Linked DNA regions of Lepisosteus oculatus. The protein of the gene in region 2 interacts with the protein of the main gene of each other region in a biochemical or structural test. Links are inferred from orthologs where the notes say so. Each region holds a gene or a part of one and is shown on either strand. Other genes may lie near its edges. The genes, in order: mink1 and lats1.

Region 1 (15,294 bases), on a different chromosome or scaffold from region 2:
ATCCCTCTCCCTCTCTCCCTCCCACTCTCTGCCCCCTTTTTTCTCTCATTCCATCTCTCTGCCTGTGTCTCCCTGCCCTCTCGCTCACCGGAGAATTAGCAAAGAACACAGCCTGAAGGAGTCGGGCTGAACCTACTGTACCACACCAGGGGGAGAGGGGACTGGCGAGGAATGAGCGGATACGAATGGGAAAGCTGCACCCCAGATTCTCGCTGCACTGGGGTCCGATAAACTTGATTTTACAGCGCTGTCAAACAGCTTCGCAGTGTCTGATCCGCTCCACTGCTTACTAACTGCAAGTGGCTCCCATGTCTTGAAACAACACCACCTGCTACAGATTACAAGCTTTATACCTTAATTTGGGTAAATTACTAGAGGTGGATGCATGTCATGCTTAAAATAACAGAATACCATTGCTGTTTGCACTGGTAGAAACCTCTAGTAGCTCCCAAACCCTGGAACAGATCAGCCTGCTGTGCAGTGGGAATGTGATTGAGAGCCCTGTAAAACCTGAAGTGGATCAGCCAGCTGTGCAGTGGGAATGTGATTGAGAGCCCTGTAAAACCTGGAGTGGATCAGCCTGCTGTGCAGTGGGAATGTGATTGAGAGCCCTGTAAAACCTGGAGTAGATCAGCCTGCTGTGCGGTGGGACTGTGTTATAGAGAGCCCTGTAAAACATGCAGTGGATCAGCCTGCTGTGCAGTGGGACTTTGATTGAGAGCCCTGTAAAACCTGGAGTGGATCAGCCTGCTGTGCAGTGGGAATGTGATTGAGAGCCCTTAAACCTGGACTGGATCAGCCTGCTGTGCAGTGGGTCTGTGATTCACAGATGTTTGCTAGCAGCTCAGTACTGAGCGGGTAGGAGTGGCTGAATGGCCTCCACTAGTTTGTAATCTTCCTTCTGTTGCAAAGGTGGAGCTCTCTATCACAAAGTTGCCCTGGGACTCTGGTTGATTTGTGGCAAAGCCTGGGCTCAAACTGGCCAGGCGTTTTTAAGCCTTCGGAGCAGCAGAGGCTCCTGGGACGCACCACGGTGCATACGGGCTGGAGCGATGTCAGCGAGAGACTCCTGTCAGGCACTGTGCAGCTTGTAGTGCTTCACATGGGCAACAGCCCTGACAGCCAGGCATGTCAGATGGAAGAAGAGCAGTTCTGCAGGAGCTGAACTCATAAGTCTGAGTCTTAAAGCAACTTTTACTACTGGAGGAGGCAGATAAAGAAACCGGTGTGAAATGTTCAATCCTCCCAACTGTAATCCAAAGTCCCTGAAACACCCATCAACCCCAGAGGAAGCTGGCAGAGCTATTAAGACAGGCACTGTCCGGAGGATCAAGAGCACCAGGAATGAGCTCATCTGTCCATCTGAGCATTCTCTCTGTCCAAGTGTCCACTCTGTCCATCTGTTTGTCCATCCAAGTGTCCACTTTTCCCATTCAACTAAGCTGTCTGTTTGTCACTTCAAGGGGTCTGTGTCCATCTGTCCATCCAGCTGTCCTCTCTGTCTATCCAAATGTATCAGAGGCACAAACAATTCAGCACTGGGGGACTATTTGTCCCTCCAAATGTGTCCATCTGTCTCCTTTCTCCATCCATGTGAGTTGTCTTGTGTGTCCATCTGTTCTCTCTGCCTATCCACGTGTGCTATCTTGTGTCCATCTCTTCATCCAAGTGGTCTGTGTCCATCTGTCCTTTCTGGCCATCCATATCTGCTGTCTTGTGTCCATCTGTCCTCTCTGTCCATCCACGTCCGCTGTCAAGTGTCCATCTGTCCTCTCTGTTCATGCACATGTGCTGTCTTGTGTCCATCTGTCCTCTCTGTTCATGCACATGTGCTGTCTTGTGTCCATCTGTCCTCTCTGTTCATGCACATGTGCTGTCTTGTGTCCATCTGTCCTCTCTGTTCATGCACATGTGCTGTCTTGTGTCCATCTGTCCTCTCTGTTCATGCACATGTGCTGTCTTGTGTCCATCTGTCCTCTCTGTTCATGCACATGTGCTGTCTTGTGTCCATCTGTCCTCTCTGTTCATGCACATGTGCTGTCTTGTGTCCATCTGTCCTCTCTGTTCATGCACATGTGCTGTCTTGTGTCCATCTGTCCTCTCTGTTCATGCACATGTGCTGTCTTGTGTCCATCTGTCCTCTCTGTTCATGCACATGTGCTGTCTTGTGTCCATCTCTCCATCCATATGGTCTGTGTCCATCGACACCTGCTGTCTTGTGTGTCCATCCAACCTCCATTAGAGTGTCCATTAGAGACCTGAAGTCCCATCGTTCACACCAAGCCTTTACCAGTGAAGAGGATGGATCATTGTCCAATTATCATGTAGTGTCTTGGTCAACCCCTTTCAGACCTGTGTGCTGTGGACTGGTGCTCATTTCAACCTGTATCGCTGCTTCTCTTCAATAAAGTAGGGATGGACCGATAACTTAAACATAAAACAGTGTTATTTCAGCTTCATCAGTGGAGGTTGTAAAAGTTCCTTCAGCAGCTGGTAAAACCTGAAAGGGATCAGACCGCTGTGCAATGGGAATTTGACTGGTTTCCCTGCTGTCGCTTAATAATTATTTATAATAAATAACTGTCTCCATATTCAAATTCTTTATTAAAACCACCACCATAGGCACTGTAATCTCCCAGGGTGTGTATTAACAATGACTAACGTACTAATGACTAATTACAAACATTCACAAAGACCGTCTGGGCACAAGGGCAAATTTAGCAATTTAGACTTATTACCAATCCTTTAAAAGTGGGGTCAACATTTCTGATGAGTTAATTACTTATTCCAGCTATTTATAACAGCAGGAGCGATATGAATAGCAGTGCTCACCTATAGAATCTTTCGCATGTTTCCTAATACGTTCAGTAAGAAGTCACAATCTAACAGTGAAACAGATCTCACTCCCACTCCAGGTGGCACAATGTTAACAATCACACTCCCACTGTACAGCAGTCTGATCCACTCTAGGTCCTGTAGTGATCTGAATCACACTCCCACTGTACAGCAGTCTGATCCACTCCAGGTCCTGTAGTGTTCTCAATCACACTCCCACTGTACAGAAGTCTGATCCACTCTAGGTCCTGCAGTGTTCTCAATCACACTCCCACTGTACAGCAGTCTGATCCACTCCAGGTCCTGTAGTGTTCTCAATCACACTCCCACTGTACAGCAGTCTGATCCACTCTAGGTCCTGTAGTGTTCTCAATCACACTCCCACTGACCAGCAGTCTGATCCACTCCAGGTCCTGTAGTGTTCTCAATCACACTCCCACTGACCAGCAGTCTGATCCACTCTAGGTCCTGCAGTGTTCTCAATCACACTCCCACTGACCAGCAGTCTGATCCACTCCAGGTCCTGTAGTGTTCTCAATCACACTCCCACTGACCAGCAGTCTGATCCACTCCAGGTCCTGTAGTGATCTCAATCACACTCCCACTGCACAGCAGTCTGATCCACTCTAGGTCCTGTAGTGTTCTCAATCACACTCCCACTGCACAGCAGTCTGATCCACTCCAGGTCCTGCAGTGTTCTCAATCACACTCCCACTGACCAGCAGTCTGATCCACTCCAGGTCCTGTAGTGTTCTCAATCACACTCCCACTGACCAGCAGTCTGATCCACTCCAGGTCCTGTAGTGATCTGAATCACACTCCCACTGACCAGCAGTCTGATCCACTCCAGGTCCTGTAGTGTTCTCAATCACACTCCCACTGTACAGAAGTCTGATCCACTCCAGGTCCTGTAGTGATCTGAATCACACTCCCACTGTACAGCAGTCTGATCCACTCTAGGTCCTGTAGTGTTCTCAATCACACTCCCACTGTACAGCAGTCTGATCCACTCCAGGTCCTGTAGTGATCTGAATCACACTCCCACTGTACAGCAGTCTGATCCACTCCAGGTCCTGTAGTGTTCTCAATCACACTCCCACTGTACAGCAGTCTGATCCACTCCAGGTCCTGTAGTGATCTGAATCACACTCCCACTGACCAGCAGTCTGATCCACTCCAGGTCCTGTAGTGTTCTCAATCACACTCCCACTGTACAGAAGTCTGATCCACTCCAGGTCCTGTAGTGATCTGAATCACACTCCCACTGTACAGCAGTCTGATCCACTCTAGGTCCTGTAGTGTTCTCAATCACACTCCCACTGTACAGCAGTCTGATCCACTCCAGGTCCTGTAGTGTTCTCAATCACACTCCCACTGTACAGCAGTCTGATCCACTCCAGGTCCTGTAGTGATCTGAATCACACTCCCACTGTACAGCAGTCTGATCCACTCCAGGTCCTGTAGTGTTCTCAATCACACTCCCACTGTACAGCAGTCTGATCCACTCCAGGTCCTGTAGTGATCTGAATCACACTCCCACTGTACAGCAGTCTGATCCACTCCAGGTCCTGTAGTGATCTGAATCACACTCCCACTGTACAGCAGTCTGATCCAGTCCAGGATTTAATGTTCTCAATCACAATCCCATCGCACCACAGTTAGAGACAGCAAGGTTCTATGCACTGCAGGAGGCTCTTGGGTAGAACTAGAAGCATCAGTAGACGTGCAGGTTAATCATTTCTTAAGTATGTCCACATCATCAACAGGTTGTACTGTTGTTGCTGCATCTGATAAAACCTGGTCCCGAGTCAAGATCCTCACGGATCTCAACCCTTAACTGACCTGAAAAGCTGCTGGAATGGAACTCGGAATGGAGATACTAGTGCTCCTCTCTCCTCTAAAGCTGAATTCCTGCTGTAGGTGGAGTCGCACTCTCAGGTGTGTGTGTGTGTGCCCCCTGCTGGAGGTGGAGTCTCACTCTCAGGTGTGTGTGAGTGTGTGTGTGCCCCCTGCTGGAGGTGGAGTCTCACTCTCAGGTGTGTGTGAGTGTGTGTGTGCCCCCTGCTGGAGGTGGAGTCTCACTCTCAGGTGTGAGTGTGTGTGTGTGTCTCCTGCTGGAGGTGGAGTCTCACTCTCAGGTGTGAGTGTGTGTGTGTGTGTGTCCTGCTGTAGGCGGAGTCTCACTCTCAGGTGTGTGTGTGTATCCCCTGCTGTAGGCGGAGTCTCACTTTCAGGTGTGTGTGTGTGTGTCTCCTGCTGGAGGTGGAGTCTCACTCTCAGGTAGGTGTGTGTGTGTGTGTCCTGCTGTAGGCAGAGTCTCACTCTCAGGTGTGTGTGTGTGTGTGTGTGTCCTGCTGTAGGCGGAGTCTCACTCTCAGGTGTGTGTGAGTGTGTGTGTGTCCTGCTGGAGGCGGAGTCTCACTCTCAGGTGTGTGTGAGTGTGTGTGTGTCCTGCTGTAGGCAGAGTCTCACTCTCAGGTGTGTGTGAGTGTGTGTGTGTCCTGCTGTAGGCAGAGTCTCACTCTCAGGTGTGTGTGAGTGTGTGTGTGTCCTGCTGTAGGCAGAGTCTCACTCTCAGGTGTGTGTGAGTGTGTGTGTGTCCTGCTGTAGGCAGAGTCTCACTCTCAGGTGTGTGTGAGTGTGTGTGTGTCCTGCTGTAGGCAGAGTCTCACTCTCAGGTGTGTGTGTGTGTGTGTGTGTCCTGCTGTAGGTGGAGTCTCACTCTCAGGTGTGTGTGTGTGTGTGTGTGTGTCCTGCTGTAGGTGGAGTCTCACTCTCAGGTGTGCATGTGTGCGTGTGTCCCGCTGTAGGCGGAGTCTCACTCTCAGGTGTGTGTGAGTGAGTGTGTCCCCCGCTGTAGGCGGAGTCTCACTCTCAGGTGTGTGTGAGTGAGTGTGTCCCCCGCTGTAGGCGGAGTCTCACTCTTAGGTGTGTGTGTGTCCCCTGCTGTAGGCGGAGTCTCTCAGGTGTGTGTGTGTGTGTCCCCTGCTGTAGGTGGAGTCTCACTCTCAGGTGTGTGTGAGTGTGTGTGTGTCCCCTGCTGTAGGCAGAGTCTCACTCTCAGGTGTGTGTGTGTGTGTCCCCTGCTGTAGGTGGAGTCTCACTCTCAGGTGTGTGTGAGTGTGTGTGTCCCCCGCTGTAGGCGGAGTCTCACTCTCAGGTGTGTGTGAGTGAGTGTGTCCCCCGCTGTAGGCGGAGTCTCACTCTCAGGTGTGTGTGAGTGAGTGTGTCCCCCGCTGTAGGCGGAGTCTCACTCTCAGGTGTGTGTGAGTGAGTGTGTCCCCCGCTGTAGGCGGAGTCTCACTCTCAGGTGTGTGTGAGTGAGTGTGTCCCCCGCTGTAGGCGGAGTCTCACTCTCAGGTGTGTGTGAGTGAGTGTGTCCCCCGCTGTAGGCGGAGTCTCACTCTCAGGTGTGTGTGAGTGAGTGTGTCCCCCGCTGTAGGCGGAGTCTCACTCTCAGGTGTGTGTGAGTGAGTGTGTCCCCCGCTGTAGGCGGAGTCTCACTCTCAGGTGTGTGTGAGTGAGTGTGTCCCCCGCTGTAGGCGGAGTCTCACTCTCAGGTGTGTGTGAGTGAGTGTGTCCCCCGCTGTAGGCGGAGTCTCACTCTCAGGTGTGTGTGAGTGAGTGTGTCCCCTGCTGTAGGCGGAGTCTCACTCTCAGGTGTGTGTGAGTGTCCAGGTCCAGAGCTAGGACCACTTCTTACTCTGACAATTACTCAATTCAGAAATACAAAAAACAGCAAGAACACAGACCGTGCGGTCCAACACGGGAGGGGGTCAGCCCACAGGCGCCGACCCCGGGAGACGGAATCTGAATTGTCCACACTGTAACGGTAACAGTTACACCAGCCCCCCCCAGCCACCCTCAAACAGGGCCCGTTTCCCCGGGTCTCTACGTGTTTCTGCCATTTGTCGTTTGAATTCGCGTCTTTCATCACAACCGCCGCCTCCACCATCGATTTACGTTTTGGGAAAATAAGGACATAGATATAAATCACGGAAAAACACGGTCTGATTTACAATCCACCCGGTACTTCAGTAATCCCCCGCCACGACCCCGGCTGTGTCAGTAACAGTCCAGGACCCCCAATCCCCTGTAATGTGATTAATATAAACCAGATTTAAACTGTCTGCAGCGACTAGCCGGTGCTGTTTAACCCAATAACCCTGGTGAGCAACGTTTCTAGCTGCTTGTTACGGATCATGTACACAGATGCGTCATGTGCAGAACTGGTGTCAGTCTGGGAGGCTGAGAAATATATGCATAAACGCAGAACACCCACATCGAAGTTGTAGAAAAACAGCAGCTACTGAGTCGCCCTTTGAGCATATTAAATTCCACTTCTGAGCCGATTAAACCCCCGAACACACACACATATACACGAGAGACTGACAGGCAAAGACGGGGAAATTTAAACGGGGGGACCAGCAATAATTATCCGTATTTTTACTCACCCGTAAGGCGGCGAGGTCGATGTCGTCTAAGCTTCTGGTAGGCGCGTTTTCAGACATTTTTGTCACAACAAAATGAAGTTAAAAATGAAGGGGTAAAAAAAATCCTATGCCGCCTTATCCAGCGTGGATTTTATTGCTGTGCGATAATGCCGGCCGTGGGAGAGGACACCTGCAAGGCTGCTGCGTATGGGGCTGGTCCTCGCTAGGTGAACGCCAGAACGGACATTTACAGGGTAAAATCCCGTACAGTACCCGGAGCTGCGCACCTCCGCCTCGCTGGGTGCGCAGTTAAAAAGCACTGGGGTTGTGTCGGTTCAGCACAAACTTGACAGTGTTGTTGTGGGGCTCCGGGGAGGGGGGTGCTCTCACCAAAACACCGAAATAATCGAGCCGTCTCTCGTCTCGTCGCGCTGCTCGGCGGCAGGGAGGGAGGGAGTCGAGATTGCGGACGGCTGGGGGTGAGCGTTCATGTTGGCAAGCCTGCCCTCGTCCTCGGCGGGCACCCCGGACCAGCGAGCAGGCAGATTAGCATTTAAAAACGCCAAAACGCCTGTCGGTTGACGGCTCTCGCCCCTACTCCCCGCCTTCTCTTATATAATCGATACGAGTCGCGGGCGAACGGGTCAGCAAGACGGGCGATTACCAGAAAATTCCAAGTTTTAGAAAATTCAGATCCCTTTTTTCCGAGGGTGGGGAGAGGTTGAGAAGAGGCAGCTCGCCGTAGCTAATTCACGAAAGCCAAGTTTCGCCCTACACTGAATGAGAGACGACGCGTGTTTTTAAAAGTCCTTTTTTACACCAAAACAATTCCAGAACTATTTTTTCTAAATAGCTGGTTCAGCTTTAACCTCCAACTTTCTGCCCGTCTCTCTCGTCCTGCGCTAACAGCCCGGATCGTCGGCCACCGCAGTCTCTCTCCGCCCCGCTCTGCTCTCTCTCTCCAGCAGAAGGCGACTTGAAGCTGACAAGGAAGAAGAAGAAAAAAAAAAAACAATTCGTGTCTCGAAAATAAAATCCCCCCCAATCGCCGCAAATCCACAGTCCTGCTCCTGCGACCGCCAACAAGCCCCGGCCCTCTTCGTCCGCTCTTGTCCTTCTGCTTCGCCTGCTGTTACTCCAGTGTTGTTTTCCTCGTCTGGTCCGTGCCTCTCTCTTGCAGTCACGAATACACACACACTCTCTCCATAGAGCTGTCTGTCGCTCCGTGCCCAGCTCTTCCTGGGTAGGCGAACTACGGCACCTCACCAGGGACACACCGCGCCGCGTTACAGCGAGGTCCGGTGCGGGCGACTTCCCCATCTCCCCCTCCGCGATGGTAATTTGTTGCTAGAGGTGGACGCGTCTCCAATATCAAATTCATAGTCATATGGAATATAGCCACGGCCCAATGCTATTTGGACATCAGCCCAAAGATGAGGCACCGTGTACATTTCTGGGCTCGGATGAAATTTCCTCGCCCGGACAAGTGAAAGGAACTGAATCTCTTTAGTGTTCCACAGGAAGGTCTAGGGGTCTTGGGCCAAGTTCAGAAAGTTACTGACTAAATCAACCACGACTGGACAGCATTGAGCGGGAAACTAAAAAGAAGCAAAGACACCAAGAGTGGTGGGTGTCTGGAACAGACAAGGCTGCTCTTGAAGCGGATTTCCTGGGATTTCTCCAGCAACCATGAGTAACAGGGACCAAATGAGCACCTCTCGTTTGGGACCTTATGTTTACTATGGCTGGGAATGGGGACTCTCGGAATTCAGGGAGGGGGAGAATTTCATTTAGGAATTTAGGGGTTGGGAAAATGGGACAGGACTGGAGGGTGGTTCATGTGAGATTTTCACATTTCTCCCTGCTTCTTATCCCTTTGAAGTACTCAATAAAGTTTTGCTGAAAGCTAAACCGAAGAAGGGCAAGGTACAGGGCCTCCGGAATGCAGCGGAACGACCGGCCACCGGCAGCACAGGGGAAGAGAGAGACTCTCCCCCCTCCCTCCCACAGGAGCTGGAAAAACAGGCCAGCTCAGGTGTTTCAGGGGCCTGCAGGACATGAACACTCCCAGAATTCCCACGCCGGAGACGGATGGGCTCCGCTCGCAAGGAAGCCTGAGGTGTCTGCGACGCCCTGCGTGAAGCAGGAAGCTCGTGTTGCCGACCATCTGTTCGGCTCTCTGATGTGCCAGTTGCTGAAAGGCCGTCAGGCTTGACTCAGCCCTCGGAGTCAGGAGGTGTGGAGGTTTAGTGATAACCTCAGACGAAACCTAGAGATATCTGGGCACCAGGGAGTGGCAGAAGTGACCCTTTGTACCCGATTAGACAATGGTAACAGACAACAAAATGCACTGAAAGGTGAAAAGGTGCGCCTCTCCCTCTCATCAGTATAAGCAGGTGTGGCCAGGCCATGCCAGTGAACCAGCCAGCTGGCTGTACTGTGCACCTCTTTTGCTCTCAACCTGTATTGTCCACTCACCTGTAGCAAGAGGTAAGAGAAGCTATTGTTTCTATTCTGCTATATTTCATCTCATTTATACAGCTCAACATTTCACTGAAGCATCTTGCTCACGGTTACAACAAGCACAATTCATTCTTCAGAGGAGCTTTTAAACCAAACACACACATTTGCAAGAAAATTAGTGACTTTATTAAAATTCACCTTTTCAGGTTTCTAGAATATAAAAATGTTAGGGTTTTAATACAATAATAAAAAGTTCTTAAAGACCAGAAAAGTTTGATGTGCAGTATTACATTGTAGTGCAGTAATTTAAAGCTTGCATTAAAAATCACCAGTTAAGACCTCTACAAACCACACCTCATTAGAAGTTTAATTGAATTCCAGATTCTACACTGCCTCCCTCTCCCACTGCCTGAGCTCTGAACACTAGCCCACACTGCCTCTCTCTCTCCCAGTGCCTCAGCTCTGAACACTAGCCCACACTGCCTCTCTCACTGCCTGAGCTCTGAACACAAGCGCACACTGCCTCTCTCTCACTGCCTCAGCTCTGAACACTAGCCCACACTGCCTCTCTCTCTCCCAGTGCCTCAGCTCTGAACACTAGCCCACACTGCCTCTCTCACTGCCTGAGCTCTGAACACTAGCGCACACTGCCTCTCTCTCACTGCCTCAGCTCTGAACACTAGCCCACACTGCCTGAGCTCTGAACACTAGCCCACACTGCCTCTCTCTCTCCCAGTGCCTCAGCTCTGAACACTAGCCCACACTGCCTCTCTCACTGCCTGAGCTCTGAACACTAGCCCACACTGCCTCTCTCACTGCCTGAGCTCTGAACACTAGCGCACACTGCCTCTCTCTCACTGCCTCAGCTCTGAACACTAGCCCACACTGCCTCTCTCTCTCCCAGTGCCTCAGCTCTGAACACTAGCCCACACTGCCTCTCTCACTGCCTGAGCTCTGAACACTAGCGCACACTGCCTCTCTCTCACTGCCTCAGCTCTGAACACTAGCCCACACTGCCTCAGCTCTGAACACTAGCCCACACTGCCTCTCTCTCCCAGTGCCTCAGCTCTGAACACTAGCCCACACTGCCTCTCTCACTGCCTGAGCTCTGAACACTAGCGCACACTGCCTCTCTCTCACTGCCTCAGCTCTGAACACTAGCCCACACTGCCTCAGCTCTGAACACTAGCCCACACTGCCTCTCTCTCCCAGTGCCTCAGCTCTGATCACTAGCTCACACTGCCTCCCTCTCTCTCACTGCCTCAGCTCTGAACACTAGCCCACACTGCCTCCCTCTCTCCCAGTGCCTCAGCTCTGAACACTAGCCCACACTGCCTCCCTGTCACTTTCCATCTTCTGATGCCCTTTTTTGTCCTCAAGTTTACAACCTACATTTGTTCCAATTCTTTTTATGTGTGTATACATTTCTTCCCCAATATCAGCATTTTTTTAAAATAAAATCAGCGGTTGCCAGGACAACGGCTGCAAAAGCTGCAGCGACGATGAGTGATTATAATTATAACACTTCGCCACCCCCTTTCCTCCTTCCTCTCACTCCTGTCCTCCTCTCCCCCTTCGCAAAATCCTGATCCGTCTCCTGCTAACTGTCTCCATAACAACAGCTCCGTGCATACTGGTGGCACGGTTCTCACTGCCTGACCGAGCGAGAGCGAGGAAGAGTTAGAGAGAGGTACTGTACGCAGAGAGAGAAACAAGCCGCCCACAGACTGCACAGTAACAGTACGCTCTGTTCCTCTCTTCTCTCTCAAACACTTCTCTTAACTGCCTCCCTCTCTGCCAGATAAGACTGCCTGTTACAGCACAGCTCTCCCAGTACAGCAAAGCACAGTGCAGTAGAGCACAGATCTGTATCCCACAGTACAGTACAGCACAGTGCAGTAGAGCACAGATCTGTATCCCACAGTACAGTACAGCACAGTGCAGTAGAGCACAGATCTGTATCCCACAGTACAGTACAGCACAGTGCAGTAGAGCACAGATCTGTATCCAACAGTACAGCAAAGCACAGATCTGTATCCCACAGTACAGCAAAGCACAGTGTAGTAGAGCACTGATCTGTATCCCACAGTACAGCAAAGCACAGTGCAGTAGAGCACAGATCTGTATCCCACAGTACAGTACAACACAATGCAGTAGAGCACAGATCTGTATCCCACAGTACAGTACAGCACAGTGCAGTAGAGCACAGATCTGTATCCCACAGTACAGCACAGCGCAGTGCAGTAGAGCACAGATCTGTACCCCACAGTACAGTACAGCACAGTGCAGTAGAGCACAGATCTGTACCCCACAGTACAGTACAGCACAGTAGAGCACAGATCTGTATCCCACAGTACAGCAAAGCACAGTGCAGTAGAGCACAGATCTGTACCCCACAGTACAGTACAGTGCAGTAGAGCACAGATCTGTATCCCACAGTACAGTACAGCACAGTGCAGTAGAGCACTGATCTGTATCCCACAGTACAGCAAAGCACAGTGCAGTAGAGCACAGATCTGTATCCCACAGTACAGTAGAGCACAGATCTGTATCCCACAGTACAGTACAACACAATGCAGTAGAGCACAGATCTGTATCCCACAGTACAGTACAGCACAGTGCAGTAGAGCACAGATCTGTATCCCACAGTACAGCACAGCGCAGTGCAGTGCAGTAGAGCACTGATCTGTACCCCACAGTACAGCACAGCACAGTGCAGCAGAGCACTGATCTGTATCCCACGGTACAGTACAGCACAGTGCAGCAGAGCACTGATCTGTATCCCACGGTACAGTACAGCACAGTGCAGCAGAGCACAGATCAATCCCACAGTACAACACAATGCAGTAGAAGACTGTTGTGTATCCCATAGTACAGTACAGCACAGTGCAGTAGATCACAGATCTGTATCCCACAGTACAGCAAAGCACAGTGCAGTAGAGCACTGATCTGTATCCCACAGTAGAGTACAGCACAGTGCAGTAGTGCATAGATCTGTATCCTACAGTGCAGTGCAGTAGAGCACAGATCTGTATCCCACAGTACAGCACAGTGCAGTAGAGCACTGATCTGTATCCCACAGTACAGCACAGTGCAGTAGAGCACTGATCTGTATCCCACAGTACAGTACAGCAGCTCACAGATCTGTATCCCACAGTACAGTACAGCACAGTGCAGTAGATCACAGATCTGTATCCCACAGTAGAGTACAGCACAGTGCAGTAGAGCACTGATCTGTATCCCACAGTAGAGTACAGCACAGTGCAGTAGAGCACTGATCTGTATCCCACAGTGCAGTGCAGTAGAGCACAGATCTGTATCCCACAGTACAGCACAGTGCAGTAGAGCACAGATCTGTATCCCACAGTACAGGACAGTGCAGTAGAGCACAGATCTGTATCCCACAGTACAGCACAGTGTAGTAGATCACAGATCTGTATCCCATAGTACAGTACAGATCAGTGCAGTAGAGCACTGATCTATATCCCACAGTATAGTATAGCACAGTGCAGTGCAGTAGTGCACAGATCTGTATCCCACAGTACAGTACAGCAGAGAACTGATCTGTATCCCACAGTACAGTACAGCACAGCGCAGTAGAGCACTGATCTGTGTCCCACAGTACAGCAAAGCACAGTGCAGTACCGTACAAGGGGGTTTGACAGTAAGTTCATGATGGAGTGTCAATAAAAAAGTACAGGTGAGCTGGGCTGAGTGTCTTTACAGATCTGACTGGACCTTACTATACTTTTACCCTGATTTCACTAGGATTTTATTGCACTTTACTGTTCAATGTTTTACAATATTACAGAACAGCAAACTACTGCAAGATTTCTTCTGCCTTGATATTTGCAGCATTTTCAAGGGCTGGGATGTTCCTTGGGAATAATTCCCCAGTCTTTTCTAGCTACTTATCGAGAATCCCTACATTCCAGCAAGTTTTCTCTGCGAAGGTTTCAAAGATGTTTTCTCTTCCATTCATTCCTTGCCAAAAACAGATACCACAAACATCGCGTCAGCGGCTTAAGAAAGGAATTCTACCGCAAACCCATAGGAACACCTTGATTGGAGCACCAGTAGCCACTGGAAGTGATCACGCCCAGGTCAGGAACAGTGGGGCGCCTTGTGCCAAGACAGCTGCTGTGTTAGTGTGTGGTGCACTCTGTGCTTGGTGGTTAGTGTGTGGTGCACTCTGTGCTTGGTGGTGTGTCCCAGCTTTGTTGTTCTAGTTTCAGGGAAGCTTGTTTTGAAAAAGCACAATCCCCCCACCAGCCCCAAACCAGATCTAATAGCCAGCATGAATGTTTTTTTCCACCCCGGGCAAATGTTACACTTGCCAGCGTTGGGAATCTGCACAAAGCTTGTATTCGTCATTAAGAGAAAAGCACGACTGCGGCTCCGTTACAGCTGCTACAGTCCAACACGCCATGGAGAATCAACCCAGCTGGCTGGGAACATGTCAGCCGACTGGAAACGGTGATGACTGATAGACACAGGGGCAGCGGTGAACTCCGCCAAAGAACTTCGATTCCTATCATTTTCGATGCACAAAAGCCTTGTTATTTGTTTATAAAAGGTCTGTTTTAATTGTGTCCCCTTTCTAAAGTGGGCTGCCCTGTTCGAGAGTATCGCATCCTGAAAACTGTGCACTCAGGAGCCCCCAGGAACATCACCAGTGCCAGCAGCAGAGTGCTAACATCACTATCAGCCAGCAGAGGGCGCCAAGATCGCCAGTGTCCACCAGCGGGCACAGGCCCGCCCGCTCCCCTGCTGATGCAGCTCTCTCGGGTTTATGCTTCCACTGTCCCAGGCCGGGCCAGCGAATCAGACACGGACATGTCCTACTCCCTGAGGATGTGAAGACAGTCAGAAAAATCTGTGGACGTGTTCTGCCTAAACTCCCTCGTGCACCTGTATGCGCCGAGGAGGAGGGCTGAATCAAATCAACTGTCCCCGTGAGTTCGGCGCTGTTTCTGTGAGCGCGACTCGAGCGCCAGGCACCGGGCACTTGTTCCAAGTGCCCATGATGAGCTCCCAGTCTGGTCCAGCGAAACATGTTCCTCTTCATTTATACTGGGGCCCAGTTCATAGATCCTCCGTGCACAAGTGTCACAACCCATCACAGGTGTCCCAGGTGTCACAGCCCGTTATAGGTGTCACTGGTGTTACAACCTGTTCCCGGTGTCACAACCTGACCCAGTTGTCACAGCCCATCAGCTGCCACAGGTGTCCCAGGTGTCACAACCCGTTATAGGTGTCACTGGTGTTACAACCTGTTCCCGGTGTCACAACCTGACCAAGTTGTCACAGCCCATCAGCTGCCACAGGTGTCCCAGGTGTTACAACCTGTCACAGGAGTCACGGGTGTTACAGCCAGTTACAGGAGTCACGGGTGTTACAGCCAGTTACAGGAGTCACAACCCGTCACAGGAGTCACTGGTGTCACAACCTGTTCCCAGTGTAACAGCCGTCAAAACCCATCACAGGTGTTACAACCTGTCCCAGGTGTCACAACCCGTCACAGGTGTCACTGATGTTACAACCCATCACAGGAGTCACAGGT
Region 2 (15,294 bases):
ACTAATTCCCTCATACACGGCGTTACATTCGTCATTACAGTGACTAGTGAGCAGGAAGGGCCACATCATGTCGCAACTGGTGCAAACTCGTGCTCTCGCCCGTGGCAAGATCAGGGGGTTTGTGACAACAGTGGTGACTACACTTTTACAAAGTTCACGATTTCGTGCTTAATTTGTCAACTTTTTCTATACCATTAATGAATTTATTTTTGTTCCCGAGATTTAGTAACCAGTTTGAGAAACTGCAATTCCCCTTCAAGTTTTCAGACATGCAACATTTCAAATTAAAATGTCAATCCATACATGCGAATATTCAGGACTGAACTAAAAAACAGTGCCAGATGTTTTTCTGAGTGCACATAGAGCACAATAACATGGAACACTTATACGAATCTGAAATTCAAAGAGCTAAAGATGCAGTTTCTTTTTGAGTCAAATGAAAAAGTCACCAGGATAAAATGAGCCTTTGCTTTTTTAGATTTGAAATTGCCATTAGATTATTAGTGCAATATAGCACTAAAATTAAAACTACTAAAATCAGTCCTTTTTATCACATACGTCTAATTACTGAAATACCAGGACAGCGTCCCTAGCAGTTACGCTGGACAGTAACTTCCAATAGGAAAATCATTTCTAGCTGAGGATTTTAATACCTAACCAGAGTTAACAGGTCTTATTTCAAAGGTTTCCTAATAACTTCTTAATCTAGAGAATAAACTTAAAATATCTTTATCAGTAGTTTGGAAAAAAAAATCACTGCATTACCTTCGTAGCGATAAACGGATAAATTCTGATGTACACAAATGACCTTTTACAAGTAAAAATCTGGTTATATCAAAGTCATTACAATATTCATACAAGGTTCATCGCTTACATGTGTGCAATGAGATATTCAGTATTTTGCAACCAAGACACTACAGCTAATAATAATCTTTAACATGACAGTTGTAATCCATAATGTGAAGCACAGATCGCAAGTTGTAAACAAGCTTTATCTGTTCACTCTTTACTAACAATAATGGATCCTTGTTAACATCACCCTAAAGACCTGCCTGCTTGACTGAAAAAAAATCTGGTTATGTAACATCTGAACTGGACTTTAGAAAATCTTTCCCTGCCTTAAACCGCTACCCATCCATCAGATCCTATCAGTATCTATACTATACATCCTATCAATATCTATACTGACAATTTCAATTCAACAGGACAGATGGGAAAAATTGTGCATTTAGAAATGTTGGCTTTTTCCCCCCCCGTTACAAAAGCAAAACCTAGCGCACATGACGGAGATCCTTGGACACATGCGCTGTCCGGGTCATGTGATCATGCAGAGGTGGGGCGAGACGTCCATGCAGCAGATTTATAAGACTTGTGCGCAACAGGAGCTTACTTGGCCAGAGAGTTGTGAAGGCTATTCAGGTCACAGCGCCTCAGGCACCTTTATCACCTACAGCCGCCGTTAGTGAAAGTGAAGAGAGAAACAAGCTCAGGAAACAGAGAGAAAGGCAAGAGCACACACAGAAGCTGGAAACAAAAAGGTGGCAGTAGAATGGAAGCTATTAAAAAGAGAAAAATGAAAAGCCAGAATATCTGGTAGCCAGTCTCAAAAACCGGTCTCCCTCACCCCAGGAGACAGATTTAGAGGAAGTAACAAGCGTCTCTCCATCACACCCACACCACACTTATAAAATTGAGAAAAATACTGGTTTAGCAACTGTCACACACTCAGAACCTAGTAAAAAATTTTATGCATCATGTTTTGGCGTTTTTTTGCAGCATGATGCCAACAACAGGTGTTGTACTGAACGTCGGGAAGTGTCTGTTAACCATCTGCAGCTCAACTTATCTCCCTTTCCCAACAAGCCTGCGCAAACCACAAAGTAATTCAAAAGCTCAGACTAGAGGCAGAGGAATCCTACTCCGTTGGGCCCCTGAGCAAGGCTCTTAACCCCAGCTGCTCCAGGGGTGCTGTACAATGGCTGACCCTGCGCTCTGACCCCCAGCTTCTCTCCCTGTCTGTGTGTCTCATAGAGAGTAAGCTGGGGTCTGTGAAAAGACAAATTTCTAATACAAGAAATTGTATACGGCCCATAAAGTGATCTCATCTCATCTCTCACATGAACAACATCAAGGAGAAACTCGGAGGCACTCAAAAAGGGGGCGTTTAAGTATTACAACTTACACGGTAAAGACGATGACGAGAAATGACAGATTACAGTAGAAAACATGGTACATCTAAAGGAGTCACAAGTGTATTTCGACAGACATGAGGACGGCCCTGCATATGCCAAGAAAAGTGTTCGGGACGGGGAAATGAAAGTTAAGTGACGCAGGGGAGCGTCTTGGGGCCACGCCGGCGGGGGGGGCTGCCCGAGAGGACGCGATCAAGACGGCGCTCACCCGCTGCATCTCGCTCTCCAGCTGCTTCTTGCGCCGGATCCTCTGCTGGTGGTTCTTCAGGATGTTCTCCACGTGCTGCTCCATGAAGAACTTGAAGGCCTGGGGGGAGTAGCTCTGGATGCGCGACTCTCGGCGCTCCTCGTCCTTCTTGATGCGGCGCACGGGCACGGGGGACGTGGTGATCTGCTTCTTCTCCCGGTCGGCCGCCGCGCCGCTGCCCCCCGCCTCCGCGGACTCCGCCCGGTCCCCGGAGCCGCCCCCGCCGGCCCCCACCGCCGCCGCCGCCTCCTCCTCCTGCTGCTGCTCCTTCCGGCCGGGCCCGGGCCCCTGCTCCTCCTTGCCGCAGCCCGCCATGGCCGGTAACTCGTAGGAGGGGGACGGCGCGGCGGGCGGCTGGAGGAGGTGCTTCGGGTAGGGCGGCGGGGGGCCCTGGTAGCTGGGCACCTCGGCGGCCACCGCGGCCCCGGGACCCAGAGGCTGGGGCCCGTCCTGGAACGGGCTGGGGGGCGGCGGCTGCTGCATCCAAGGCGGGTGGGTGGGGGCGACGGCGGTCTGCAGCTCGGGCTTCTGCACCCGCATGCTCTTAACGGGCTGCAGGATGGGCGCCTGGGTGATGGCCTTCACCGTGGTGGCGGACGGCTGGGAGCCCTGCCGGCCGCTCAGCTGGTGGCTGTTGAAGGAGTTGGAGCGGACGGGGATGTTGTGCTGCCAGGGCGGGGGGACCTCGTGGCCGTTCCCGCCCGGGGGAGACTGGGGCTGGCCGGAGGGAGGGGGCGGCTGGGGCCAGGAGCCGGGGATGCCGTGGCTGTAAAGGTCCAGGTTGTGACTGTTCCGGCTGGGCACCATCATGGACGCGGGGATGTTGCCGCCGTTCACGTACGAGGGGGAGGACGCGGGCCCACCGCCCTGCATTTGTAAAGCCGTGGGGCTCTGTCTGCTGCCCTGGCTCACGGGGTAAGGAGGGGGAGGCTGTCGGCCGCTGCCCACGTTCTGGTGTCCCACGTAGTCAGGCTGCCCCGAGCCGTTCTGCGCCCAGCTAGAAGGAAAACTGAATTTGTTCGCGGCCGAGCTCTGCATGATGATGGGCTGGCGGCCCACTGGCACGGGACTGATCCCTCTCTGGCTCTGCGGGGGTGGCGTGGGGTACCCGTCGGGCCAGGCCCCCTGGGGGACCGGGGAGATCCGGTGCACCAGGTACTCCATGTTGGCCGAGAAGCGCTTGGTGGAGGGGTTGCCCTCCCAGGAAGGCGGGGGCGGGGTGGTGCCCCTGGTCGGAGGGGGTGGAGGGGTGACGCTGCGCACCTGTGGAGGAGGGGGGGGGTTGACCCGCTGCCCGTTGCCCGGGTGTCCCTGGGAGAAGGCCGCGAGCCCCGAGCCCGACGGGGGGCGCCCTCCCAGCTCCGCTGGGGGCCCGGGGCTGTCGGAGCGGTACATCACCCCCTCCACCAGAGGGGGCCCGTGCCTCTGAGGAACCAGGGACTCCTTGGAACCCTTCCAGCTTTGCTTGCGGAGCACAGGCTGCTGGATGTGACCCGAACCTGCGAGGGATAAACATCAAACACAGTGACGCGCGGGGTCAAGGTCCAGGACCAACAAAGAAGGGGAATGCCTAGTGAGTGCTTTTCACAGCACACGTAAAAAGAAAAGATAGCATGGTTCTTAAACAGCAGTAAAGAGAAAACATACGCTTCACATTGTACATAAACCTAAAGCAGATTTTCAGCACACTCAAACCCAAATAGCATCCTTTGTTATCAAACATAAATGAGGAGAAATTCCTGGATTTTCACAAAGATTAGCCGAATACGGTGACCCTCACCAGGAACATCAGAGTGAAAACAGAAGGATGGAAGACAAACTATACTCCTGCACCTGTCTATCTGAAACAGCATTCTGCAGCGGTAATCAGGTGTGTGGAAACACTAGTAAAAGCTCACGCAGCGAAGAGTAGGACAAACTGAGCTGTTCCTTGGGCTTCGATAAGACAGTGCTGATTTTTCTCATGGGGGTGCAAGATAAAAGGCAGCAACGCGAGGCATGAACACGGCGCTGGACCCAGAGCACAGATACCCACCCGGAGCTTTCACGCCCGAATTGATGGGCCGCGCAGCAGCGGCCACCATCTGCTCCCTCCACGGGTCCTGGTAGCTCATCTTGCTGATGTACTCGATGGCCGCCTCCACGCTCCGGCTGTTAGTTTGCTTCAGAGCGCGGATGACCATCTCCTGCAGGGCAGAACGCCAAGTATCACAAGAGACGCGAGAGGTTCTGCTACCACATCTTCTCCGTCCAAAACAGTCTGCGTAAATACTTGATAAAAACAACATGAGCAGAACGAAAGTAACACCCCCCACCTTAACGTCAAGCTGTTTATCCTGACGAAGGACATACTGCTGCTCTCTCCCTACAGGACACTGCGCCATCACAGGGCAGCTGGCGAAAGCCAATGAAACCCAAGCAGGACGTCCTGAACTGGGAGGTAGGCGAAACTGCAGCACTCAGTTAAGACCCATGCAAATGAGGGGAAAACATGCAAACTCCGTACAGACGCCTGAAGCCAGAATCAAACTCAGGACATTAAAGCTGTGGGATTAAACCCTAAACCCAACATCCAAAATTTGTCTTCATAGAAAATGTTTCCTTGAGGGTCCCAACTGGTTTGAATGGTATGAGGTGGCTTGAGCCCAGGTCACTAGCTGACAGTCACTGGGCAGGGCTGGGATAAATCAACAGCTCCCAGGGCTACAGGCACCATAGAGCTGTAGGGCTTCAGTCCACACAAAATCCAGCACAGCTCTACACAGACAAGGAGTCTGCCTGCGCGCTGGAGCCGAGGTGGAATAAAGACAACTGGCAGTTTGAAATCAGGTGGGCTTTTAAGAGATGTTAGCCATGCTAAATCGTGTAAAAAAAAAAGTTTTGCAATATCATGAAATGGAATCAGTAATCAGTCCTAAATGACAGATAACAACAACAACCCGTTTTCTGTCAGACATCCAAATAATGCTTTGCACTGCTGCTGTGTTTTATTTTCATGTTGCTTTCAGGTCTGAACAAGGCTCAGTATGACTCCCTAGTTAATTGTTTTAGTGTAGGTAAACACTCTGGAAGAATAAAAAGTGCCAAGGTGAAAATGAGATGGCAAGATCTTGCCTTGTCTGAGTAGGTGCTCACCCTCAGATATTGAACAGCACTTCTTACAGCAAGCAAGCCCAGCCAGTCCAGAGCAGTATAAAAGAGCTCCCCGATGCACACGTGTGCCACGTTACCAGCTTCACTCTAGTTTGCTGAATTTTCTATACCTGTGTCAGGTTCTGGACAGTATTAACCATCTGCATGACAGAGGGCCACATGATTTCACAGGTAGATAAACGTACAGTATGCTGCTGGCACAGAGCTCTCTTTCAATTACATTACTGCCGTTCCTCTGCCATTTTTCATTCTGGGTACTTTTCATATTGTTTTACTGGGATCCTCTGGCCTCACCTCTGGGCCATAAACAGCCACTAAATAGCCCTGGCACCTGTTATCATCGTATTTCCTAAACTTTGTGCACTGAATGTCTTGTGTAGCTATTAAGCTGAAATAGGCTGTTGTACAAAATAATTGCCTCACTACAAGGCAATTGGAATTTTGTAGTCACACACAGTACAATACATTAAAATGCTAAAACTAATGGATGTTTTTTACAATTCCATACGCAAGTTCTGAATATTTAGAAATTAGATCTCTGAAGCATAGATCCTCACAACAAGTTTAAATTAAAGTGATAATGATTAATGACTTCCAGTATTCAAGGAGAAAATTGCTGAACATATTTTGAACTGGAATGTGCAATATGACTTTCTGTCCCATCTACATTAATCATCATCAGTGTACATATTCTAAATACATTTAGAAATGTGTGTTATGATGTTATTCAGTAAGAATGAAATAACTCCCAGTGACGTCTGCTTTGAACATTCTGGAGAGGACAAAATTACACCCTGAAGATGGAAACAATAGTAGATCAAGTATTTCCACATACCATCGTTCCAATAGCTCAACACAATCGCAGCAAGTGGAAACAGGGCACAAAGCAAATGGCTTCAAAGCATGAATACGACCCACTCTACTTAAAAAGGCCCGGTAAAAAAGGTGAACATCAGCAGAACACATCCCGTCCTACAGTTCAGAGCTTCTAACTCTCCAGTGCACATCAATCAATTTCCATCTAACTGTACTCAACCAAAAAACAGAAAGAAGTGACAAGCACCACAGAAATACTATTAACAAAGATGAGAAAAAAATGAACATTATTGGTGAACTGTTATCCCCTGGTGTTTCAGTAATCTCTCTGTTGTTGTTCTAATGTAATCAAGTGTAATTATGTGTGCCTTCTCCTGTTCCGCATGCAGATACTCTGTGTGCTGTTGTGAAAGGGCGGGGGGGTTTCATTATTAACCGAACAATTTCTTCCCCCCCCAAGTCCAGGGCTTCCACAGGCCATGATTAACCCAAAACTGCTAACCAGAATAAATCGCCTCTGATTTAGAAAACGCTGTAAAAAGCACCCTGCTCGGAACACAGGCTTACCTCCTCGAACCCGGCGTTCTGTAACTCCATTAGCATCTGCTTGTTGACCTCGCAGGTGCCCCTGCCCGAGGAGCCGGACTCGTTGGCGAAGGGCATCAGGGACTTGCGGATCTCCTGCAGAGCCTTGTGGTACGTGTTGAACTTGGGGTTGCTGTTTCTCCCCTGCTGCCTGGGGTCTTCGACCGGCCCCTTCCCAGCAGCACCGGACTCCATTTTGGGGGCGTCCGAGGGCCTGGAGAGGTGCCGAAGGCTCTCTCGGATCTCCTGCAGCATCTGATGGCTGCTGCCCCCATAGTTACTCGCTGGGAAGGTTTTGGGCCGCATCTGTCGGTATCCTTCGGGCTTCTCCCCTCTCTTCATGAAAGAACATGTACGTGGGCAATCAAGGCGAAGTGGGGCACCACACTCTCGCCAGCAGGGGGCGTCGCTAGCGGGCAAGAGCGGAGGGCTGCACGGGGCTCCTTCTCCTCGACACGCCTGCTGTTCCAGGGCTCCGCGGAAGAAGGCACATCTGCAACAGAACAGTCCAGCCCAATTCAATGACCGTAATGAGGCCGACCCGTCAAGGACAGAGCTGTGCTACACCTCTCCAAAATCATCACCTGTTTTAAAAGCAAGAATAAACCTGCACAGGATCCACGAAAGAACTTCTTAAACGTTAACTTCCTTAACTTCATGACGGGAAATTACATTCTTCTCCCAGGAAAACCTTCTGTCAGGAACAGAGGAATCTGAGGTCACCACCTGGTTGTAAGTAGCTATTTGATCAGGTCATCTGATCTAGGACCAGGTGCTTGATAATAGAAGTCGGGGTATTAGCTTCTATAGTGTGGCTGGGTAGGCATCTGTGGGGGGAAAACACTTTTCTACCTTCTCTAGATGGGATCATTGAAATAAACGAAACATAAACAAAACAAAAAATAAAAGAAAAATCAGAAGCACTTCACCACATAAAAGTGCCAACGAGAGAAGAGAAACGTTTATCTCACCTGTGGAACAAATAAGGTGAAGAGATGTACGAGTGTTTATTCGCCGACAAAACGCTTGTGTCTACGATATGTCAGCGCCTACAATAAATCTGGCGGGCACCAACCTCGATATTTTTTACAATGTACCCTTTCAATTCATAAATACTTTCTAAATTTCTCATATCGAAACGATACACAAAACAACCCCCTTGACGTGTATAGAAGCCTATTTTCCTAAAACACCTTGCACACAGTATAGCTGAAGTCACTCGGAGCCAGACCCAAAAACCTGTCGGACCCACATCAACATCTTTTCGGCGTTGCTCGGCCACGACACGGGCATCGCAGCCTGGCGTTAGACAGTCATTTCATGCCACCGCAGAGCAAACCGCACCAACCCCAAACAGAGCGCCCTGTGAAGTGGAAAAGGCACCTACCGGCCCCTATCCCTTATTCGCTGCCTGCCCCTGGGTGTCCTTATCAGCGCAGGTGACAATTTCCACATTGTCACCGCAGAAAGTAGCCGCCAGCACCAGGGGCACACGAAGCTACCCTTCCCCGTCGCTTCGCCCCAGCCCTCGGCACTCGCTCCCAGAACAATCCCAGGCTTCCCCCATCTCGTCCAGGCCTCTCCGGGCCTGGCTAAGGTGTGGCCATAAATAAAGAGACAACGCCTCATATGTGGGGGATTAACAAAAAAAAAGGCCAGGTTGTCCCAACACCGGGAGCGAAAGCCTCACATGGCCTGTGGCCCCCGTCTCTTTGTAGCCCGGACATGAGGCGACAACCGCCCCGACCTCGTCCACCCCCCATCCCCGCAAACGCAGAGTCCGGACTCGGATTACAGCCGCCGCCGGGGCCTGGTGGGAACCGACAGGGACGCCTCACAAAGGACTCACCGACTGGCCCCCGGGCTTCTAGCTCATCGCCGGACGCGGCTCCGAGCGGCAAAGCGGGCCCGACCGCGGAGGATCGCCGGCTGCCGGTGTCTGCTGGCCCCGCTCCGCTGCGGAGGATCGGCGCCCGAAGGTTTTCCTGCTTTTCCCGTCCCCGAGTCGCTCGGAGAGCCCAGCCGTCTGTCACCCCGAGAGCCCGGATGTGCAGGGTTTTCCCATTTCCCAGCAAGCTCCGCAACCCCACAGCCGCTCTTGCTCCCAGTGCTGGCGTTTCACCGGCTCATTCCTGACCGCCACAAGCGTCGGAGCCTCCGAGACCCGAGGCACTTCGCCGTCCGTAAAATTACGCGTCCGTTTTTGAGTTCGTTATCTTCGTCACGCATGCTGGGGCGAACCCTGCGGCTTGTCCTGTCATTGGCTTGGATTGGGCAGCCGGTCTCTACCATTGAGATAGGAAGAGCATCCGCCGGTGCTCAGCTCAGTTACCGCACTGGGGTGTCGTGGGATGAAGACAGGGCTGCAAACTGCAGACATCAGTTATGACAGATGATGAAGAGTGAATCACAAGCAAGGCGCTTCTAAGCTGGAGCAAATGCGGTTACCAGCATCCACACGATTTTGCCGTAGACTGTCATTGAAAACACCGGCCCTGCTTGCATTTTTTTGAGAAGTTCATTCAAATCAACTTTATACCGATATTCTTACTTGTATTCGCCAGATAGACAACCGAACTATCTATTTGGAGACGGCCGTCGAAACTACAGCACTTGGAATTCAAGAAAAAAGACAGCGGAAAAATAATAAAATTGGCTTCAAATCTTTTTACTCCCCTGTGTGAAGTTAAAACTTTACCCTGTACAGTGCCCTGTTATCATATGTTGTGGGTCAACGGATAATACCAGCATTGAACTAATTTACAAATACGTTTCTAGAGCCGGTTAAACAGTGGCTGTTCAAAATCATGAATATTAAACAGGAATTTTGTGAATGTTGCAACAACATTTAAACAAACGTGTATAGTGGAAAACAGATAAATACAAAAAACAACATTACTTTTACCTCATTGCCATTATAGAGCACATACATATCAGTCCCATCCTGTAAATCATTTGACCGGCTACTCTAAAAACGAGCTTTAAAAGCAAATAATGTAAGGTTATTAACAAAAATACATTTCCACATCAACATTGTATGCAAAGAGCTTTTTGCAAAGATTGTTTATTTAAAAAAAAATAGTGATACAAAAAGAATTATTCGCTTTGCAGTTTTCATTACTGAACTATTTTTCCTGGCTTCCAAACAGGACAGGGATTAAACAGAACAGTGCTCCTCACTTCCAGCCCTCAACAGCACACTCCAGTAGGCCTCGACATGCTTACTAAATTGTCAGCTGCTTTATATTAGCGAGATGAGCACAGGATGAAATTGTAAATCCCTACGGCCCGAAAAGGACCAGTACTGTTTAAGATGCCTTGAGAAGCATGTTCTCTATAAGTGGTTCCCGAGTGACTAGTCAGTTGTTTAACTATCAAGACAGCTGTGTGGAATCATCCAGTACCAGATGCAATAGTGAAGTGTGTGCTATTGAGGGCCCCAATACAGAACAAAGCCTGCCTTCTGTTATACTGGCACATGTCTGCTGACATAAATAGCTTCTCCATCAGTTCCACAGACCAGGTGCTGCCCCAGCACGTCCAGACTGTTCACAGACATTGTCTCGCCAGGAAGCATGTTTGTCGTCTCCAGACGGCCTTTGGAAGAGTCACTGCTCAGCCAGGAGCTAATCAAGGACTGGTTGATGCTGTGAGGGGCAACTGTGCTGCGTGACGTGATGGTAGTGTTCCTCCCACCTTTTCGGAAAACAAAAATGAATCCTTTATTATTGAAATTAATATTCCAGCGTCTGGTTTTTGCTCTACCTTACCTTCCCTAACATTCTAACTGCAGTGTTAACAGTGGAAATGTGTTAATCTACATTTCTTTTGTTCAGTTAAATAAATAAATACCAAGGCTGTTTGGAATTGAAATCTCACTTGGAACAACAGCCAGGAGAGACAAGGATCCACCCCACGCAGAGTTAGAAACCACCTGTTCAGGAAAAGGTCCTGCAGTGCATTATATTCTGAAACTGAAGATATTTCACTTCAAAATCATTTAACCCCCGTGACTCCTTATTCCTAGTATGTTATTTAAGCTCCAAAGCTATTAAGTTCTTAATTCGGACAACTAAACAAAGAACTAAGAAGTGAATCACGTCTTTTAGTTTGTCTTCTGCACTGGTTATGTACGTGACTTTACTAGAAGAGGTTGTTTGTATAAGAATACTGCACGTCAGCTTTGTCATCTTTATCTTCTCTTATCTCGATATCGAAATGCACTGGTCGCGCTTTGCCTATCCTTCACATTCCAGAGAACCCAAGGTGAAAATAAATGTCAAGAATGGGCTGAAAAGAATAGTATATAATCCGATATTAACTTCCTGCTTCAGGAATCAATGCTTTGTGACTTCTGTCATAGATGTACAGATGTACAGGAAATGATACTTCTATGACAGAATGATACATCTGCAATGCTGTACTGTCCCTTGTATGCTTCTAAGGCAATTTTTATTAAAAAAAAGTGGTGAATATTTTGTGCGTTTGTACCTCTTAATGATACTCCTTGTTCAGATTTATCCAGTAACTTTTATACTTGAGGCCTTTATAAACCATGTAGCGCACGCATTACTTTTAGACCCGAACATGACATGACAAGAGCTCCTCGCCATGAAGAAGGGGTTGAGTCTGAGCCTTCTGCTCCGTCCTAACAAAAACGAGGCTCTATTCGGTCAAAACCCGGTTACAGACGTGTGCGCCTCTCCCTCTCCTTTTCAAACGGGGACCCTTACCTTGCAGGAAGGAGGGGGTGTCGGTGCCTGTGGAGTTCTCCCAGTGCCACAGAGAGCCATCCTCAGAGCACGTGAACAGGTGGTCCGGGTTAGAGGGGTGAAAGTGGACCTCCCACACTGGGACGCAAAAGAGCAGCGTTAGTTTCTCCCTACCTTTACGGCACTCACCGAATACAACAACCATAACGTCTGCACAGCATGTCCGTCATCTAGTGGAAAGGTATTAAAAGTATCTGGCGGTTCGCTAAAAAACAGACGGGCTGATACAAAGTAAAGCCATTACTAACTTTCAGCAGAATGTGCTTCCATCAGCGCAAATGGCATGCTTCCCTGTCTGACATCCCAGATGCACAGCACGCCATCCTGACTCCCAGTGGCCACTATGTGCTGCTGGTTGGGGTGTCTGTCTACACAGTGTAGGGGCACTCTCTCTCCAGTTCTGTAAGGTGGAAAAACAGCTGAGATTAACAGAACGTAGTTATGCATTCCATTTTTTCCATAATGTGCATTCCAAGCCTGCCTATTATAGCTCAAATCTGAATATGTTCACAAAAATTAAATATGGGGTTAACAATATTTTGTAGATTTCTAAAAAATGGTGAGCTGCCGTAGGCTCTCTTCAAAACTTTAATTGAGAGTATTTTTAACAACCAGTGAACTCACAAGGATAGAATCTGTGATGGTTCATTTCTCTGCTGCCTGAAGTCCCATAATTTCAACTGGCCAAAAGAATTGACTGTCAGGACCTCTGTTGTCTTTAAGAAAGTTACAGCGTGGATTGTGCTGCTATCGGCATTGTCTGTGAAAAGGAAGGAAAATACGCTGTTAATGTGGGTGAACTGAACAGTTTAAATAGCAGCTCCTTCTTCAACCACAAATACCAGTATACATGAATGCATGGCAGACTGAATACCTTTGAATGTCTAAGCATGCACGTTTTTATAAATAAATCAAAAATGTATTAAACCTGTTTTCAAGACAACTGTGAGCTTTGAATTTGTACACACCTATGGTACGTATGACTCCTTTATGGTCCGCTCGGAAGAGAATTATCCGGCCATCCTCTCCAACCGAGACAATTTCTGGGCTGTTGCAAACCACACCTGTACAAGGGGCACTGCCGCAGGAGTAGGAGTGTGCCTGACTCCACTGCTGAGCCACAGAGAGGGTCTACAGGAAAACATTTTGGAAAAAAGGATTGACTTGTAATCCCTGATTTAAAAACAAAACAAAACATCACCATCATCCAAACATAACAGCTTCAGAGGAGGTTTGCCTGTTTTTTGAGGTAGTTTGTCATTATGATTTAACTTGACTTTTATGGAATGTTTACTGCCAAAGTCCTGTTGTGGAAAGATCACACAAAAAGAGATAAACAGAGATAGTTCAGAGAGACTCTTTTCCTCCAGGAAACAACTGAAACTCCTTTCAGTTGCTGTAATTCTATCTTACTCCAAAGACTCATGCTTGTCTGAGGCCAACAGGCCATTTCTGTCCAGGTCTGTTATACAAGCAGCAGGTCAGGACCCATATTGGGAACATCTACATTTTATATTTTGAGAATCATTTCAGAGAGTCAAAGTGAAGAGATGGGAAGAGCGATGTAGTAGATTCGGGGAGTTAACATGAGATAAGGCGAGCTACTGTACCTCGGAGGAACTTAGTTATGATGAAAATATTGAATTAAAAATTTATATTTTGGAGTGCCAGTAACATGCACAAACATGCTTTTCTGAAGCAGAGAGTAAAAGATATAATTCAAAACCAAAGCTAAGTTAATTTCATCCCTCCAGGGTGATCTAAGATAAGCAACACAGAAGAACTCAGAGTCAGATTAACTTTAACATGATCCTATTCTAACATTCTGAAATAACGTCTTTACTACAATCAAACTCAATATTATGTTCTTTGGAATATGCACATTTCCAGAGAATCTCAAAGAAGAGAACAAAAGTAGTAAAACAGAAACACAGTCTGAAAGACAGCAAAACCAAAAAAAAAAAGTTTTGAACTGAAAGAACAAAACAGAATGAGGTCTAAACTCTGAAAGAAAGCATTGGAAAGACAGATCTACCTGGCTGTTGTGATGGTGTCGGAAGATGGTAACTGCTCCAGTTGATGAAGCTGTAACAATTCTCTCATGGTCCAGAAACTAAAAGAAACATCACAAGAAAATAAATGTGCCTTACAGGGCATGTAAAATGGTCATAAACACGAATAAAAAAAGAGTAAACCAAGCTAAGTCTATACCAAGGTTTAATTCACAACTAACATTTATAGGTCAGAGAATGAGAGAAAAGTATATTGCTTTGAAGGCTGACCTACATAATCCTCCAGTAACACATCGAAAGAAGAATAAAGGATAAAGCAACATTAATAAAGGATTTATTACATTCACAGGAATAAAACATCATTCCTACAAAGCATTTCTGGAAGAATTGTGAAATGTGTCCGAGGTTGAGGAACAGTGACGCTGTTTGATATTGAGCGATCGCGGCATCACACAGTAATGTATGAACATTTTACGTTGTGCCTGATATTACTACTTCAAATGTACTCAAAGAAAGGTGGAATGTCACTTATGGCCTGTTAACTAGGAATTTTCTTCTGATGCTCAAGACCCATTGTACTGTACCCATTGCCTGGGGAGAGGCAAATTCTGTATCCACACAAAAATGTTTACTTTTAGACATGTTATACAATCAATACGACATAATCTAAAAGAGAATACAACTTTAGAATTTTCAGCCAAACATAAGCAGGAATAAACACAAAGTGTCTGATATCATACATAATATGAATGATGTTTCATACTAGTTCCCACAAAATGTCTTTTGGCCCTAGTACTGCCCTTCCATGTTTTTTTCTGAAACCTCCTTCTGTGGAAAATTCTAAACTGTCTGCTAAGATACCACAGTTCCATTATTCACCTCACTTGAGAGAATATGAAAGAGGAAAATAGAGTTACTGCCCCTTTTTAGAAATTTTCAAAATGACCAATGATCAATCGTAGTAAAAAAACAATGTACAACATATTTCCAGATAGAAAAACGAATGAAGAACAAGTGTACCTGAAGGTCCATGACATCACCGCCATGTCGGTAGTCACACAGTAGCTGGGGGTCTCCTTCAAACTCATCCTCCATGCTGGTGACGCTAAGCTCCCCCACAGACCATATGGAAACTTTATTGTCCTGGCACAATGATGCAAAAGTGGCATTCAAGAAGATATTCCTTTCTATCAGGTAATCCCGCATGTAAAAACACCCCTCGACCATGACAACTGCCTGCAGCTCACAGCTGGCAGCCCACTGGAGCTCAGCTGCGTGAGGCTGGCCAGTACCTGTGGGGAGACTCCTGCGAAAGCTAAGGCCGCTACTGGAAGAGGTATACGTAGAGCCAGCAGGGGGCGCTCAGCCTGCGGTCTGTGTAGTCCTGATACCCCAGTATAGTAACGGGGACACTATAGTGTAAAGAAAAAATGACATCCTTCGGATGAGACATAAAACCGAGGTCCTGATTCTCCGTGGTTATTAAAACTTAAAAATCTCAGGGCTTTCCACGGTCT

The links.
Region 1: of the proteins of lats1 (region 2) and mink1, one has a biochemical effect on the other in vitro, tested with the Homo sapiens proteins (2 studies listed by BioGRID). The link is inferred for Lepisosteus oculatus from reciprocal best matches to the Homo sapiens genes LATS1 and MINK1.

Annotation. Positions count from the first base shown.
Region 1 is NC_090698.1:10,002,817-10,018,110, reverse strand, and holds the start of mink1 (misshapen-like kinase 1), read right to left. Parts: upstream 8,531-15,294; 5' UTR 7,347-8,530; coding exon 7,290-7,346; intron 1-7,289. UniProt on the Homo sapiens protein: Serine/threonine kinase which acts as a negative regulator of Ras-related Rap2-mediated signal transduction to control neuronal structure and AMPA receptor trafficking.
Region 2 is NC_090697.1:4,927,347-4,942,640, reverse strand, and holds the start of lats1 (serine/threonine-protein kinase LATS1), read right to left. Parts: upstream 9,933-15,294; 5' UTR 8,843-9,932; intron 7,487-8,842; 5' UTR 7,336-7,486; coding exon 6,976-7,335; intron 4,626-6,975; coding exon 4,475-4,625; intron 3,939-4,474; coding exon 2,401-3,938; intron 1-2,400. Other genes in the region: nucleoporin Nup43, read right to left, coding at 10,460-10,689, 11,727-11,843, 12,014-12,165, 12,390-12,525, 12,734-12,896, 13,801-13,878, 14,798-14,920. UniProt on the Homo sapiens protein: Negative regulator of YAP1 in the Hippo signaling pathway that plays a pivotal role in organ size control and tumor suppression by restricting proliferation and promoting apoptosis.